Pelodiscus sinensis: one gene and its partner. The protein of the gene in region 1 interacts with the protein of each later gene in a pairwise test. Links are inferred from orthologs where the notes say so. Each region holds a gene or a part of one and is shown in the gene's direction. Other genes may lie near its edges.

Region 1 (4,211 bases):
GTCCCTTCCTCTGTGCCCCCCCTCCTCCCCCTGTGTTCCCCCCAGCCCGCACCCTTCTCCCCTATGTCCCTTCCTCTGTGCCCCCCCTCCTCCCCCTGTGTTCCCCTCAGCCCGCACCCTTCTCCCCTATGTCCCTTCCTCTGTGCCCTCCCTCCTCCCCGTCTCCTCCCCCGGGCCCCATCCCCCGCGCCCTCCCTCTTCCCCCTGCGCTCCGCCTGGCCCACACCCTCCTCCCCTCAGCCCCCCAGCCCACACCCTCGTCCCCCTGCACCCTCCCAGCCCGCACCCTTCTCCCCTATGTCCCTTCCTCCGCGCCCTCCCTCTTCCCCCTGCGCTCGGCCCGGCCTGCACCCTCCTCCCCCTGCACACCCCAGCCCGCACCCTCCTCCCCCTGGGTCCCCCCCAGCCCGCACCCTCCTCCCCCTGCGCCCCCCAGCCCGCACCCTCCTCCCCTGCCCCCCCCAGCCCGCACCCTCCTTCCCCTGCGCCCCCCAGCCCGCACCCTCCTCCCCTGCCCCCCCCAGCCCGCACCCTCCTCCCCCTGCGCCCCCCAGCCCGCACCCTCCTCCCCTGCCCCCCCCAGCCCGCACCCTCCTTCCCCTGCGCCCCCCAGCCCGCACCCTCCTCCCCTGCCCCCCCCAGCCCGCACCCTCCTTCCCCTGCGCCCCCCAGCCCGCACTCTCCTCCCCTGCCCCCCCCAGCCCGCACCCTCCTCCCCCTGGGTCCCCCCCAGCCCGCACCCTTCTTCCCCTGGGCCCCATCCCCCGCGCCTCCCTCTTCCCCTTGGGCCCTCCACTCTCCCTGCGCCCCTTCCCTCCGGACTCCTCCCCCTGGGATCCCCCCCTTCATCCGTCCCCCGCCCCCTCTCCCTTCCCCCCGGGGCGCCCACTCCCCCTGCGCCCTTTCCCCCACACCCGCCCTCTTCCCCCTGCGCTCCCCCCGGCCTGCGCCCCGCGCCCCCCGCTTCCGACCCCTCGGCCGATCGGCCCGGCCCGCTCCGGGGGCCGGCGGAGGGAGGCGCCGCTGGGTCCCGCCCCCGGAGCCTCCCACGCGCCGCGCCGCGCAGCCGGGCGCTGCTATTTCTCTGTAAATCGCGTGTGGGCGGCGCGCAGAGCGCAGCGGCGGAGGCAGCGAGCGAGCGAGCGGCCGGTGCCGAGCCGGGAGCGCGGCGCGATCCAGCCGGTCCGGGGCAGCGGGGACCCCGGAGAGCCCCCGCCCGGCCCCCCGCCGCCGTCCATGCCCGGGCGAGGCGCCGCGGAGCTGGGAGCGAGAGCGGCCGGGCGCAGCTCCAGCCAGGCCAGTAAGCGAGGGGGGGCTGGCACATGGGGGCGGGGGCTGGCGCGGGGTGGGGCCTGGCAGGGGGGAGCCGGGGGCGGGGGGCTGGAAGTGGGGTTGGCACGGGAGGGGGGGGGTGCTGGCTGGCGCTGGGGGGCAGGCACAGGATAATTTCGGGTATTGAGGAGTGGGGGAGGGGCAGTGCTGGGGGCACAGGGGGCAGGAAGAGGGGCAGGAGGTGAGCTGGGGGGGGGTCGGTCTGGTCCTGGGGAGGGAAGCTTGGGTAGGAGCTGGTCAGAGTGCCACTGGGCTTGGGGGAGGGGCTAGTTGACCAGCAAAGTCAGAGCAGAGCTGGGGGGGGGGGGGTCTCGGGACTGTACCCCCCCCCCCCCCAACACACTGCTCAGAGCGTCTTGCTGGGATGTGGGCCTGGGGGGATGGGAATAAGGCACCTGAGCAGGGATCTGGGATGCTGGGGAAAGTGGATGGGGGAGGGGCTGGGGTCTTCTTCCTTCCCCATTCAGGGATGGAGCTGCCATGTACCCCCAGCACCCCTGTCTGGGGGGGGGGGCATTGCCACACAGACATTTCCGGGGGAGGGGGCAGAGGCTGGGTGCGGGGATGTCTCTTGGTTGAAGGAGAAAGACCCTCCAGATTGCGTGGGAGTGGGGCTGGCCAGGGGGCTGTGGAGAGGGGTGATCAGTGGATCAGGCTCTCCAAGCTGGTTGCCAACTGCCCCGGCTCCTTGGGGTGCTGGCACCCGGGGGGGGGGCGGCATTCTCGCCATCTGGAGCCATGTGTATCTCAGGTCCCAGTGGCACTGAGAAAAGCAGGATTCTCTCTGAGGACATGGGGCACTGCCCCTTAGCGAGAGCCCTCTGCAAAAATACTGGGGGGGGGGGGCTGGATGGCACTGGGAGAGTGTGAAGGAGGTACTGGGTGCAGTTGGGGGGGACACTGGTAGGGTGCAGTGTGGAATCCAGTGAGGGGAGGCTGCTGCCCGCAGTGCAGGAAGGTGAGGGTGCTAGGCGCAGGGTGGGAGGACTGGCGGGGTGCAGTGCAGAGTGCAGCAGGGATTGCAACCATGCAGTGCGGGGAGGCTCGGGTGCTAGGTGTAGGGTGGGAAAATTGGGCAGGTGCAGTGCAGAGGGGAACGGGCAAGCTGGTGGAGAACAGTGCAGCGTGACGAGGAGGGTTGCAGCAAGTCAGTGCAGGAAGGTTAGGGTGCTAGGTACAGTGCAGAGAAGTTGGTTGGGTGCAGTGGGAAGGGGTAGGGTTTAGAGCCATGCAGTGCAGGGAGGTTGGTAGAGTGCAGTGGGAAGTTGCTTCCCTGTAGTGCAAGGAGGTGAGGATGCTGGATGCAGACCTGGGAAGCTGGTGGACGTGGGGGGGAGGGTGCAACGGGTTTGGGGGGGGGATGCAGTGTGGAATGCAGTGGAGGGTTACAGCCACGAACCATGAAGAGGTGAGGGAAAGAATATTGGTGGGGTGCAATGCAGAAAGCAGTGGGGAATTGGAGCCGTGCAGTGCAGGGAGGTGAGGGTGCTAGGCGCGGGGTGGGAGGACTGGCAGGGTGCAGTGCAGAAAGCAGTGGGGGATTGCACCATGCAGTGTAGAGAGGTGAGGGTGCTAGGTGCAGGATGGAAAAATTGGGCAGGTGCAGTGTAGGGAGCAGTGCGGGATTGCACCATGCAGTGCAGAGAGGCGAGGGTGCTAGGCGCAGGGCGGGAAGATTGGGCGGGTGCAGTGCAGAGTGCAGTGCGGGATTGCAGCCATGCAGTGCAGGGAGGCAAGGGTGGGAGAATTGGCGGGGTGCAGTGCAGAATGCAGTGGGGGATTGCGGCCATGCAGTGCAGGGAGGCGAGGGTGGGAGAATTGGCGGGGTGCAGTGCAGAGCGCAGTGGGGGATTGCGGCCATGCAGCGCAGGGAGGCGAGGGTGGGAGAACTGGCGGGGTGCAGTGCAGAGTGCAGTGGGGGATTGCGGCCATGCAGCACAGGGAGGCGAGGGTGGGAGAATTGGCGGGGTGCAGTGCAGAATGCAGTGTGGGATTGCAGCCATGCAGCGCAGGGAGGCGAGGGTGGGAGAATCGGCAGGGTGCAGTGCAGAATGCAGTGTGGGATTGCAGCCATGCAGTGCAGGGAGGCGAGGGTGGGAGAATTGGCGGGGTGCAGTGCAGAGCGCAGTGGGGGATTGCGGCCATGCAGCGCAGGGAGGCGAGGGTGGGAGAATCGGCGGGGTGCAGTGCGGGGTGCAGTGCAGAATGCAGTGTGGGATTGCAGCCATGCAGTGCAGGGAGGCGAGGGTGGAGGAATTGGCGGGGTGCAGTGCAGAGCGCAGTGGGGGATTGCGGCCAGGCAGTGCGGGGAAGCGGCCGCTGGTTCTCCGCTCGCCTCCCCCCATCGCCCTGCTCTGGCCCTGATGTCCCCTCTTCCCCTCACAGGCCTGCCCCTCGCCATGGCCCTGCCCCGCACCCTGGGCGAGCTGCAGCTGTACCGCGTGCTGCAGCGAGCGAACCTGCTCTCCTACTACGAGACCTTCATCCAGCAGGGCGGGGATGACGTGCAGCAGCTGTGCGAGGCGGGCGAGGAGGAGTTCCTGGAGATCATGGCGCTGGTGGGCATGGCCACCAAGCCCCTGCACGTCCGGCGCCTGCAGAAGGCCCTGAGGGAGTGGGCCTCCAACCCCGGCCTCTTCAGCCAGCCCATGGCCTCCCTGCCCGTCAGCAGCATCCCCCTCTTCAAGATCTCCGAGAGCGGGGGGCGCAAGTCGCTCAGCAACGGGCACGCCAGCCCCGGGGAGGCCCCGGGGAAAGGGGGCGCTGGGCTGGCCACGCCGCCCGCCCGCAGCCCCTCGGAGCTGGGGGAGAAGCTGTCCCCTCTCTCGGCCCCCCAGTGGCCGGGGCGCAGCACCCCGGAGTTGGAGGGGGGCGGGGCG
Region 2 (4,211 bases), on another chromosome or scaffold:
AGTTCGAACTACCTAGTTCGTGCCCTGTGTAGCTGCGCTGCACGGGGTTCGAACCAGCGGGGTTTTAAAAATGGCGGCTCCCCGCTTATGCACATGAAGCCCGGGAAATTCAAATCCCGGGCTTAATTTGCAAGTGCGGTATGCCTACATTACCCCGCTAGTTCGAACTAGTGGGGTAGTGTAGACATACCCTAAGGCAGCAGCGTAGAGGGGACCAGAGGAGACTCCCCGTGGACAGAGGCTGCTCTGCCTCCCATGGAGCAGCAACTGTCCATGGCAAGCCTGGGCCTGCTGCGGACAGAGGCTGGTCCCTGGCAGCAACCCTATCCACGGGGGATCCGTGCTCCCCATGGACAGAGGCTGCTCCAGCCTCTGTCTGCAGGATGCTCAGAGCTCCTGTGGACAGGGGCTCCTACGACCCCATGCTGTTGCCTTTGTTTCTGAGACAGCAGTGCAAGGTGGCAGGTAGCCAGTCTAAGCAGAGAATTGGTTTTTAAACTGGCTCCCCTCGTGGACTGTCTCCCACCTGGCACCCTGTGCTGCTACCTCTGATACAGAGACAGAAGCATGGGATGGCAGGGGCACCCCGGGAGTGAGGCCGGAGTGCACTGGCTGCTGGTCCCACCCTGGGGACTATCGAAGAGTTGTGTAATGGATAAGAATTCATGCAGCTACATAACTATTCAATTACCCGATATCCAGCCTTCCTAGTTCTTTGTTTACAATATTTGTTGCCATTTTTGAAGGGTCACCCAGGAAAGGAATGGATAAAGGGGGTTGCACTGTATTTCTCCTGCACTTTTCTTGGATGCCAAAATAGGAGCCCAAGGACTCATTTGCAGTGAGAAGAAAGAAAGGTGCACATTCTCTTTTATGCACTCCACATCGGATTCCTCTTTAGGCTAAGCATCATTCTAACGTGTTAGTTCCAGAACTTCTAATATTGGGTGCGCAAGACACCCTCTGTGGGCTGCATCCAGCCTGCCAAGCCCTCTGATCGTGCCCACTGCCACTCTCCAACCCCCAGTCCAATTAAGACCTAGGGATGGGGGAGTGGCAAAGTCCCTTCTCTCCACCCCCACCAGGGGTGCGTGGCACCAGAAGGAACCAGCAGTTTTTAAAACGGGTGCCTGTTTTCTCTAAGCACCACCTGCCCCTGGCAGGGCAGGGGTGACAAAGATTTCATGCACTCTCCCACTCCCAGGCCAATCCGGGTCTGTGGGTGAGGGAGAAGAGTGAAGTCTCCTGGTCTCATCCCTTCTGTGCAAGGCCCCGCTCCTTCTGGACCACTTCTGAAATTCATGAAGTGCCCCCCCCCCCCACTCCTGTTCCAATGCATCTCTTGTGTCGTGCATCATCGCCGCCTTCCTTGTGCCTGGCATGTCAGCCCCGTGTCCGGACACCACCGCCTCAGACATGTAGGTGCCAATCGCCGCCAATCCGCCCCTCTCCGCACTAGCCACCCGCGGCCTTCGCCCCCACGTAACGCCAGGGCGGAGTCTCCCCTCCCTTCGCGGCAGGGCGCTGCGCGTGGGAGCCAGCTGGGCTCCAGGGAGAAATCGGGGCCCCGGGGTTGCGTGGCGCATTTGCAGGGGCCTGGGCGCGCACCAGGTCGCAGGTCCAGAGGCGGCCGCTGCGCCCCTGGGGCACCACGTCCCGGTACCGTCCGTCCGCGTGGCCCCGCCACTCGCGTGTCCGCCCCGGCCGCCTCGTGTCACTCACGCGCGGGCCCTCGTCTCTGGCCTTTGCGCCGCCCGAACAGCGCCGCGGGCCGGGCGGCCGCCTCCATAAGCCAGCAAGCCGGCGCCTTGAGCGGGGCCTGTGTACGGCGGTTACCAGGCAACCGAGGGGGGGGGGGAAGACGGCGCGACAGGCCAAGAGCTGCGTCACGTGACTTAGCGGAGGGGGCGGGGCCGGAAGCGGCTGGCCGGACTGCCGGGGCGCAGCAGCGCCTGCCCAGGTCTGGCGCCTCCGCTCGGTGCCGGTGTAGCGGCTCCGCCCCGCCTGTGCTCTCGGGCCCGCACTGAGCTTGGGTCCGCTTGCGGTTCCTGTGCCCGCCCAGAGGCAGGGGGTGAGCGACCCGCGCGGGGCCCGCTGCTGCGCGTGACGCTGAGTGACGCCGGCTGCTGCCGTTAGCGCGAGCTGCGGCTGCCCGGACCCCTGGGCGTAGCTGAGAACGGGGATCCCGGCGCTCCCGCTGCGCCTGTCCCTGCTGTGCGGGGCGCTGTTCTGTTGGGGGTGCGGGGGATGCCGAGTGATGTTGTCTGATGCGCTGCTCGACATCTGTGTTGTAAATGCGCTTTATCGAGCTGTTGGGGCTGACAGGAGAGAGACCCTATTTATTTTGAGTCTGCACATCCTAAACTCAAAAATTTCGGTCAGCTGAAAAAGTGGGCTGTGCCCAGGAAAGCTCATGATACCATCTATGTGTTTGTTATTCTATGAAGTGCTACCAGATCATTTGTTTTTTTAAGTTTATCCTGTACAGATGAACTCCGCCACCCCATGAAGCTTGAGCGAGAGACTTTGAACTCAAGTTCAAATGTTGAAACCCAACCACCCTGGACTTGCCTGGCTTCTTTCTGAATGGGAAAAAGTGATGAGCAAAGTTATTCCCAAGGTAAACAAAATATGTGCCTAGAACTACACTAAAGAAAGGGTGAGCTGTTTCCTTCTCTAGGCTGTTTGGTTACCCCAGGACTTGTCTATAAATGCTAATGCTGTAGAACCACAGTAAATTAAGCTACCTACAAATCTTCCTATAGCAAGTCAACACTAATATTCACCACAAAGGTTATTTGTGTTCTTGATTTTTTGAATCAAGGTGCCTGCTTGAATGTTGTTAGTAGGGTTTTTTAAGTGGAAGAAGAAAATTAGTTAAACTAGCAACAGCAGCAGCTACAAATGGCTCTTTCAAGGTTTTCATAAAATGCTTCCATCTCCTGTCAGAAAGCTGAAGAATTTCAGTCTTGAGGGTTGCTTTGATTGACCATGTGGATAAAAAAAAAAATTAGAATTAGAACTGTAGTGCAGCCAGATTGTTTAAATTGAACTTGTGTTAGTGAAGACTGAGTAATAAACATGTTGTTTCCAATACTCCTTTATACTATCTAATTAAGAATGTAGCTGGATAGTGAATTAGACTTTTGACCTTTACAGATCATCTGCTCACTTGAGCACAGCCTTTCCCATAGCTGTAGTGCCCAGAAACAGCCATGTTTATACATTTGTCTTGACTCTTTTTTGTGGTAGACTTGCCCTTTTCAAAGCAGGAGGTCGTGATAGGAATTTAATATTTAGTAGAAGCTTCTGATTATATAAACAAAATGTTTTTTTTCCAGCATATATTCTTATCTAACAACTATGAAGTTACTGCTGGTTTTTGACTTTGACTATACGGTCATAGATGAAAATAGTGACACCTGGATTGTGAAATGTGCTCCTGAGGAAAAACTGCCTAACAAACTAAGAAATTCGTATAAAAAAGGACATTGGACAGAATACATGGGCAGAGTCTTTAAATATTTGGGAGACAGTGGCGTAAGAGAAGATGAAATGAAAAGAACTATGACAACAATTCCTTTCACTACAGGAATGAGAGATCTTTTAGGCTTTATTGGCAAGAACAAAGATTTCTTTGATTGTATAATAATTTCCGATTCTAATACAGTATTTATTGACTGGATTTTAAAAGCTGCTAACTTTCATGCAGTGCTTGATGAAGTGTTTACAAATCCTGCAGCTTTCAGTGGTGCTGGCTATCTTACTTTGCAGAATTTTCACACTCATCATTGTGCAAAGTGCCCTAAAAATCTCTGCAAAAGAAAAGTGTTGGAAGAATTTGTGGATAAAAAATTACAGGAAGGAGTAAAATATACAAAAATTATATATGTAGGTGATGGTGGGAATGATCTTTGTCCAGTAACTTTTTTGAAGAAGAATGATATTGCTATGCCCAGACAAGGGTATACCTTACAGAAAATGATTTCTCAGATGTCTGAGGATCTTGATCCTGTGCAGTCTTCTGTTCTAGTTTGGTCATCAGGTATTGAAATTCTGTCTCATTTGAAATTACTTATAAAAGAATAACTCAAACTATAGAGATGATTAAAAGTAAATTGTTAAAGATGTGTTGTCTTGCATGGAGTGAATAATAATTACTGTGTCTATCACAAAGCACACAATATCTGAAACTAAGGCATTAAAATACA

What was found.
Region 2: the proteins of NAB2 (region 1) and PHOSPHO2 interact in binary tests that used the Homo sapiens proteins (3 or more experiments, as listed by UniProt). The two-hybrid records come from large-scale screens. The link is inferred for Pelodiscus sinensis from reciprocal best matches to the Homo sapiens genes NAB2 and PHOSPHO2.

Annotation. Positions count from the first base shown.
Region 1 is NC_134729.1:3,396,962-3,401,172, reverse strand, and holds the start of NAB2 (NGFI-A-binding protein 2), read left to right. Parts: upstream 1-1,066; 5' UTR 1,067-1,236; coding exon 1,237-1,300; intron 1,301-3,717; coding exon 3,718-4,211. UniProt on the Homo sapiens protein: Acts as a transcriptional repressor for zinc finger transcription factors EGR1 and EGR2. Isoform 2 lacks repression ability.
Region 2 is NC_134717.1:39,921,528-39,925,738, forward strand, and holds the start of PHOSPHO2 (pyridoxal phosphate phosphatase PHOSPHO2), read left to right. Parts: upstream 1-1,528; 5' UTR 1,529-1,659; exon of another isoform or gene 1,660-1,722; coding exon of another isoform or gene 1,723-1,789; exon of another isoform or gene 1,790-2,474; 5' UTR 2,475-2,620; intron 2,621-3,341; 5' UTR 3,342-3,363; coding exon 3,364-4,089; 3' UTR 4,090-4,211. Other genes in the region: CFAP210 (cilia- and flagella- associated protein 210), read right to left, coding at 1,723-1,789. UniProt on the Homo sapiens protein: Phosphatase that has high activity toward pyridoxal 5'-phosphate (PLP).